Callithrix jacchus: one gene and its partner. The protein of the gene in region 2 purifies or fractionates together with the protein of the main gene of each other region. This does not show direct contact. Links are inferred from orthologs where the notes say so. Each region holds a gene or a part of one and is shown on either strand. Other genes may lie near its edges. The genes, in order: FRA10AC1 and ESS2.

Region 1 (3,821 bases), on a different chromosome or scaffold from region 2:
ATCCTATCTGTACTGAAAATACAGAAATTCACCAGGCGTGGTGGTGGGTGCCTGTAATCCCAGCTACTGGGATGGCTGAGGCAGGAGAATTGCTTGAACCTGAGAGGCAGAGGTTGCAGTGAGCTGCATTCCAGCCTAGCAGCAGAGAGAAATTCTGTCTCAAACAAACAAACAAAAAGTTAACATCAAGCTCCTATTGAATGATCTCTAATGTATCTGCCACATGAATGTGTAGGAATACCAGTGTCCTGCAGTATATTTAAGATCATGGGCTTTGAAATCAGACCTGGGTTTTTAATTTCAGCTTCTTGGCTTACTCGGCTTCTTCTTGGGCAAACAGCTTAACCGCTGTAAGACTTAATTTTATCACCTGTAAAAATGAGGCTACTAAGGCCTCATTTGGGGAATAAAAGAAAATGCATGTAAAGTTCTTGCCATAGTGCCTGGCATTGAAGATGTTCAGACTAAATGTTTGCGACTTGCCTTTGCGATGGTCAGGTTTTATGCCCTAAATAACAGTTAAAAGTTCAACTCTTGCAACTTTATAAAATATATACATAAGCATATTAGTTTTAAAATGGCTTTCTTTGTTTTCAATCACATGGATTTGTCAAAAAATAACAGCTTTGTTATAAATGTGTCTATACAGTATTTTAGCTGTTAAATGTTAAATAATATTTTTAATTCTTAAAATTGGCAGGATTATTTTTATTATTTTCATTATTCTTTATTTTTTTGAGACAGTGTCTCATTCTGTTGCCCAGGCTGGAGCACAGTGGTGTGATCATGGCTCATTGCAGCCTCAGCCTCCTGTGCTCAAGTGATCCTCCCACCTCAGCTTCCAGAGTAGATAAGACTACAGGCATATGTCACCACACCTGGCTAATTTTTTTAAAGTTTTTGTAGAGATGGTGTTTCCCTTTGTTGCTCAGGCTGATCTTGAACTGTGGACTCAAGCAGTCTTCCTGCCTCAGCCTCCCAAAGTGCTGGAATGATAGGCATAAGCCTCCACACCCAGCCAGGATTTTTTTTAGATTACTTGAATGGCCTAAACCTTTATTTTCCTTTCCCATCGATGATACTTAAAGAAACCAGAGATTTATTTTGACCTTGACTTTTGAGCTTCATTTCAAAATGGAAATGATTCTTACAAAAGAGGCAAGAGTGGTTACTGCATTAAATACTATTATAGCATTTGGTATATGCACTTTAACTTGGAAAATCTGTTAAGCAAGTATTTTGAAAGTAATCTTTCTCTTTGTCTCTATCCTCCTCGCCAGTCCCAATTTCAGCATTATCACCTTTTACTGTTTAGTACTTCTTTTCTTAACCTATTAAAATTAATTGCTTGCTAACCTTGTAAACGTGGCCTATAAGAGATAAAGCTGCAACAGTAAGAGTATAAATTATAAGTGGCCTGATGTTAATATATGCATTAACAATAAGCCTTTTCTATTTTCATTCCATATACTTTTACTATATTCCTTTATTCTTAAAGGAAGAAATTTCTATTTACTGGTAGTTTAGAGCTGTTATAGCAGTTTCATCTTGTTTGTGCTTTTTTAACATGTAGATAGATATGGATTATGTGAAGAGAAATGAGATTTGTTTTTATAATTTTGTTTTAAATGGCTCAGTGATAGAATATAGAAAGAAGGAAACAAATACAATTATAATTTATATTTACTATAGTTGATACAGGACTTAGAGAAAATAATTATTTGTCTCAGTGTTTAGACTTCATTATCTTACTGAATGGTTTTAATTAATATACTAGCCTAAAATATTCACAGATTCACTTAAGTTTCCTTATTATATGAATTACACTTAAAAAATAAATATTTTAACTGATGTTTGTTTTTGTTATTGGTTTTTATTTTTGAAAAGGTCAGTTGGAAAAGTTAACTTTAATTTTTTATTGTTTAACATGAAGGAGAAAAGAAATCAAGTCAAAGAAAAGAAAAGATAAAACCAAAAATGATAGTGAAGAGTCATCACATAAAAAATCCAGATTATCTTCTGCAGAAGAGGTTTCCAAGAAAAAAGATAAAGGTAAAAGGAAATTAAGATAAGGGATCTACTCGTATTCATGAGCATGAAATATAATCTGCCGTATTTCATTCATATAATTGGTGAATGCATTTAGAATTTCATTTTATGGGAGTTGAAAGGAAACTGGCTGAGAATTTAGATATGAATTTAAAGTGACTTACTTAATATTAGCTATTAAGTTTTAAGAACTCCTGTAAGTTAATTAAGGGTTAATTTTAGTTCATTTTTTGCAGATAGTATAATATTGCCAGTAGTTTTCTAATTCCTGCCTTTGTCACCTACAGACTTGTTACTTTGGATAAGTTATTGAACTGCTTTATTTTTCTTATGTATATAGGGGTGAGGCGAATACCTGGCCTTCATACTGGGCAAGTTTATTGGAGAGATTCAAATAAGAATGTGAAAGGCATTTTGAACAGTGCTTTTAAACAGTCTATCATCTATAAATCAATATAAAATTATAACACTGATTTTATTTATAATGGTCTACAGATTTTTTTTCACTAGTTTGTGAGTTTCTAGAAATGAGAAAGATTGACATATATCTGTGCTCTCAGAACCTAGCATGGTGCTGTACACATATACTTAGTAAATAATTATTAAATTCAAGTTTATTAATCAACTGCTTGCTTTTTCCTCAGCAGTCCATAAGCCCTCTAAGACTCAATTCCTTCATGTGTAAAATGGTCATGATTCCTTTTAGAATTGTTCAGAAGTTGAAATGAGATAATTCATTAAGCAGTTTGCATAATACTTGGCACATATTAGCTATTATGAAAGTACTTCTAGTTGCTTTTTTAGCCCTTAATAAAGTTGATAATCAAATTAGATTCAAGCCAATGTTAATATAATATTTGGACAGGAGAGGGCTCTCTTCCTCCAGCTATGAAGGTCATTAGATAGGTTGCATTCTTAGAAACATTTACTTGCACATCATCATTATGTAGACAAAGGTTAAATCTACAAGTCCTCGTAATCCCATCTACTCCGATAGCTTCAAGTATATGGTGTCACCAAGCTTTAGACTTCATAAAATTCATAGATGGCGAGAGGACGATACTGTTATTTTAATTGCTTAAGAGTAGCATTTGTTGCAGAATGCCTTTTTGTCTCTATCTTAATTATTTCCTACTGTAAGGTAAATTTTAACCAATAAAAATTAAAATATCTTTTGAGTTTTAAAAACTTATATGCTAGTAAAACATTAACATCACTTAAGAAATTTGTTGCCCTCATTGTATTATATGTTCATTCTTATCACAACTGTGATACCATGTTAATCACTGCATATTCCAAACGAAAGAATTCATCTCTGCTTTATAAAATGTTACTCAGTACAATCAGAATAGATTGGGTAGATGAATACTCAGGTTCAGGGCTGGGATTGGACCCTTCATATTAAGCATAAATATGCACGCGATCTTCCTTATAGATATTTTTCCTGTAGTGTTTCATCAGTAGATGACACTTATGTTGACCTAAAAACTAATATCAGAAATCTGGGGGTTATCCTTGATACTTACTTTTTCCTTATTACTTATGTTTAATTTGTCATCAAGGTCTGTGAATTTTCCCCACAGAGTACGTATTTCTCAGGTTCTGTCCACCTACAAAGCACTGTACTTTCTCTTATGGGCTACTGTTACATTCTCCTTAGGGGTTCCACCACTGTCTTGCCATCCCACCTTCCCTCCTCTTAATCCAGTCTCCATAAATCAATGGATTCCTGTTGTTTTTAGGCTGGTAACCAAAATCCTGGACAAAGCTAA
Region 2 (3,821 bases):
CTGTCATCAGCATTGCCCCCAGCAGCGGCCTGGAGTCAGCATCCTCTGGAGTCGCCGGGATAGGTACAGCTCGAGCTGAGGCCCTGTCACCTCCCTGGATGGGAGGAGGGGGCTTCTCTCACTTGGGTGCCCATTTTGACAGGCCCTCAAGGTCTTTTAGGGGTTGGGGCAGGGGCCCTCCCTTTCTTTCTTCAAGGAGGCTGCCAGCCCAGAGCCCCAGCCTTGCCCTGATGGGAGGAAGTATTTCCAGCATGTTCTTTCATGTTTGCCCACCAGCCAGCTGTCAAGTGGGCTGTGGTCCCCCTAATGCCAGCCTCTCTGCTTGTTCCAGCACAAACAGGGCAAGGTGGGCCCTGATGGCAAGGAGCTGATCCCCCAGGAGTCCCCCCGAGTGGGTGGATTTGGATTTGTTGCCACTCCTTCTCCTGCCCCTGGTGAGGAAAAGTACACACTGGCAAGTGGGCCTACTGCTGACTCCCTGGGGGAGGTGGGCTTCTCAGTCGGCCCTGGCTACTCCTGGCCTCAACCTGGCCTGCCCCACACCTGTGTAACTCAGGGACCTCGTCTCCTGTCTGTACAAGGCCCTAGAGGCCAGGTGTCCAGGCTACTCAGGGCCGTAGGCGGGCTATACCTGACCTGAGACATCCTGGGGTGATGTGTCCTGTCCTTGTCCTCACTGTGATGTCAACAGGCGGGGGTGTGTGCACAGTGCTTAGGAGTCTAAGTCTGCCTAGCACTGCAGGGAGGGAGGCTTGGCACCTCAGGGGGCAGGTGAGACTCAGGTGGTCCCGTGGCATGTGTGGGTACCCCTCCTGCAGTCTGGCCTCTGTGCTCTTGGGTACTGGTACTGTGTCACAGGTCAGGGCATGTGAAGGCACTGCCGGTTTGCACGGGGTTCTAGGAGGTTTGGGAGCCCTAGAAGGCCTGAGTGTCTCCTCCTGAGTGATTGGGGGAGACCTCCCAGAGGCTTATAGGCTAAGCATGTGGCTGTAGGGCCCTGAGCCCTCCTCGGGCCCACTGGGACCTTGGCATTTCCCTTTTGGAGGATGGAGGTGCCAGGGTTCCAGAGTCCAGGGGAAGGAGAGAGGGCTAGCTGCCTGCCTTCTTATTAGCTGGGATGCACATTTGGTGAACTGGATGTGACTGAAGGGGAGGGCGGTGGGGACCCTAGCTGAGTCCTCTGTCCTGAAGTGGTTTTGGGCTCTTTGTCTGCAGGTGTGAATGAGTCCCCGATGATGACCTGGGGGGAGGTTGAGAACACACCCTTGAGAGTTGAAGGTTCGGAAACCCCCTACGTGGATAGGACACCAGGCCCAGCTTTCAAGGTGGGTTGTGGCGATGGGGGAACAGTGTGTAACTCGGTGTGGATGCCTCTGGAGCCCTGAGTGCCTGTGGCCCAGGATTGAGCACTGGGATTGACCCCCAGCCGCTGACAGGCAGAGTGCTGACTTTTCTGAATGCCAGGGTGCTGAAGGCAGGTGTGGGTGGGTAGGTGGGCCTGTTACAGAGGGATTTCGGGGTATAGGGGCTGAGACACCAAGGTAGAGAGTGGCTTGGGTCTTCTGAATCCTAGAGGCCAGGTACTGTTCATGAATGAGGCAGGATGGTCACAGTCACGTCAGGAGCTCTGCAGGCCTGAGGGCCATGGGATGTGGCTGTGTGCTTGCACAGCAAGCCCCTGGTTACAGAACACGATTGGGGCACACTGGATTGCACAGCTCAAGCCTGGTGTTGTAGGAGTGGTCAGGGTGGAGTGTGTGAGGCTCGGCACAGACCAGGGGAGGCTCTTTGTGGGCTGGGTCAGATGCAACAGGCCTCCCTGTACCACTGCGGGGCTTTCCCCAGAGTACTCAGTGGAGGTAGCCCACGTGCAGACAAAACATGGGCAGAGGTTTGGGTTACCTTGGTTCTAAACTCTGTCTGGGATGCAAGCATAACCAAGGCAGACGTGCAGGAGGGATAACGAAGAGGATGCTGTGCTGTCAGATGTGGGCACAAGGCAAGGGCCATGGTGCTTTCGAGGTGCTACCTGCTGCTGCTTCTTGAGCCTCCAGGCTGACAGAAAAAAAGTTCTGAAACAAACCGTGATCCAGGTCAGAACTTAGGGGCTGAGAAAGATGGCGAGTCAAACTGCACTGAATAGCAGAGTATGTAGAAATGAAGGACTCTGAGTCAGGTCAGAACTTAGGGGCTGAGAAAGACGGCGAGTCAAATTGCACTGAATAGGAGAGTATGTAGAAATGAAGGACTCTGAGTCAGGTCAGAACTTAGGGGCTGAGAAAGACGGCGAGTCAAACTGCACTGAATAGGAGAGTATGTAGAAATGAAGGACGCTGAGTCAGGTCAGAACTTAGGGGCTGAGAAAGACGGCGAGTCAAACTGCACTGAATAGCAGAGTATGTAGAAATGAAGGACTCTGAGTCAGGTCAGAACTTAGGGGCTGAGAAAGACGGCGAGTCAAACTGCACTGAATAGGAGAGTATGTAGAAATGAAGGACTCTGAGTCAGGTCAGAACTTAGGGGCTGAGAAAGACGGCGAGTCAAACTGCACTGAATAGGAGAGTATGTAGAAATGAAGGACTCTGAGTCAGGTCAGAACTTAGGGGCTGAGAAAGACGGCGAGTCAAACTGCACTGAATAGGAGAGTATGTAGAAATGAAGGATGCTGAGTCAGGTCAGAACTTAGGGGCTGAGAAAGACGGCGAGTCAAACTGCACTGAATAGCAGAGTATGTAGAAATGAAGCACACTGAGTCCTTCGGATGCGTAGCAGCATGTATTCTGGAAAAGTGAAAAGGTTACCTGTAAAAACAATAACCATAAAATAACCACGAAATAATGGCAAATATTTAGTTTGATTTTTAAAATTTTATTTATTAAGTATTATTATTATTATTACTTTTTTGAGATGGAGTCTCACTCTGTCACCCAGGCTGGAGGGCAGTGGCACAATCTTGGCTCACTCCAACCTCCACCTCCTGGGTTCAAGTGATTCTCGTGCCTCAGTCTCCTGAGTAGCTGGGACAGCAGGCATGTGCCACTGCACCTGGCTAATTTTTGTATTTTTAGTAGAGGCAGGGTTTCACCATGTTGGTCAGGCTGGTCTCAAACTCCTGACCTCGTGATCCGCCTGCCTTGGCCTCCTAAAGTGCTGGGATTACAGGCATAAGCCACCGCACCTGGCTTCTTCTTCTTCCTTTTTTTTTTTTTTTTTTTTTTTTTTTTAACAGAGTTTCACTCTGTTGCCCAGGCTGGAGAGCTGTGGTGCAATTATAGCTCACTGGGCTCAAGTGACCCTCCAGCCTCAGCCTCTTGAGTAGCTGGGATTAACAGCACACACCAGCACACCCAGCTAATTTTTAAAAATTTTTGTATAGAAATGAGGTCTTGTTATGTTGCCCAGGCTGGTCTCCAACTCCTGAGTTCAAGTGATCCTCCCACCTTGACCTCCCAGAGTGTTGGGGTTACAGGTGTGAGCCACCACTCCCAGCCTGTAGTCTAATCTTAAGTTAGGGAGAACCTTCTAAACATAAAAGGAAAAGGAAGAAATCACAAAGATGACAAATACAGCAGAAAATATTATAAATGAAACTAACGCAAATAACTAAAAACACATGTGCACGGCGTAGCGCAGTTGACTTGACACAGGTGAGGGTCTTCTGAGTGACAGCAGCAGAAAGGGAAAATCAATCCCTTGAGAGCAAACTAGGCCACAGACACACAGGGAATCTGCACCCGAAATAGACAGGGCCAATAAAGACAGAGATGTTCATTCTTAGAATCAGGGAAACACTAAAACATACACTCTTTTTCCTGAGAGAT

Evidence for each region.
Region 1: the proteins of ESS2 (region 2) and FRA10AC1 purify together in Homo sapiens (co-immunoprecipitation; 3 studies listed by BioGRID and IntAct, counting the BioPlex papers as one, with this or other methods). This does not show direct contact. The link is inferred for Callithrix jacchus from reciprocal best matches to the Homo sapiens genes ESS2 and FRA10AC1.

What each region holds. Positions count from the first base shown.
Region 1 is NC_133513.1:86,417,074-86,420,894, reverse strand, and holds part of FRA10AC1 (protein FRA10AC1), read left to right. Parts: intron 1-1,933; coding exon 1,934-2,052; intron 2,053-3,821. UniProt on the Homo sapiens protein: May be involved in pre-mRNA splicing.
Region 2 is NC_133502.1:210,762,880-210,766,700, reverse strand, and holds part of ESS2 (splicing factor ESS-2 homolog), read left to right. Parts: intron 1-331; coding exon 332-434; intron 435-1,215; coding exon 1,216-1,325; intron 1,326-3,821. UniProt on the Homo sapiens protein: May be involved in pre-mRNA splicing.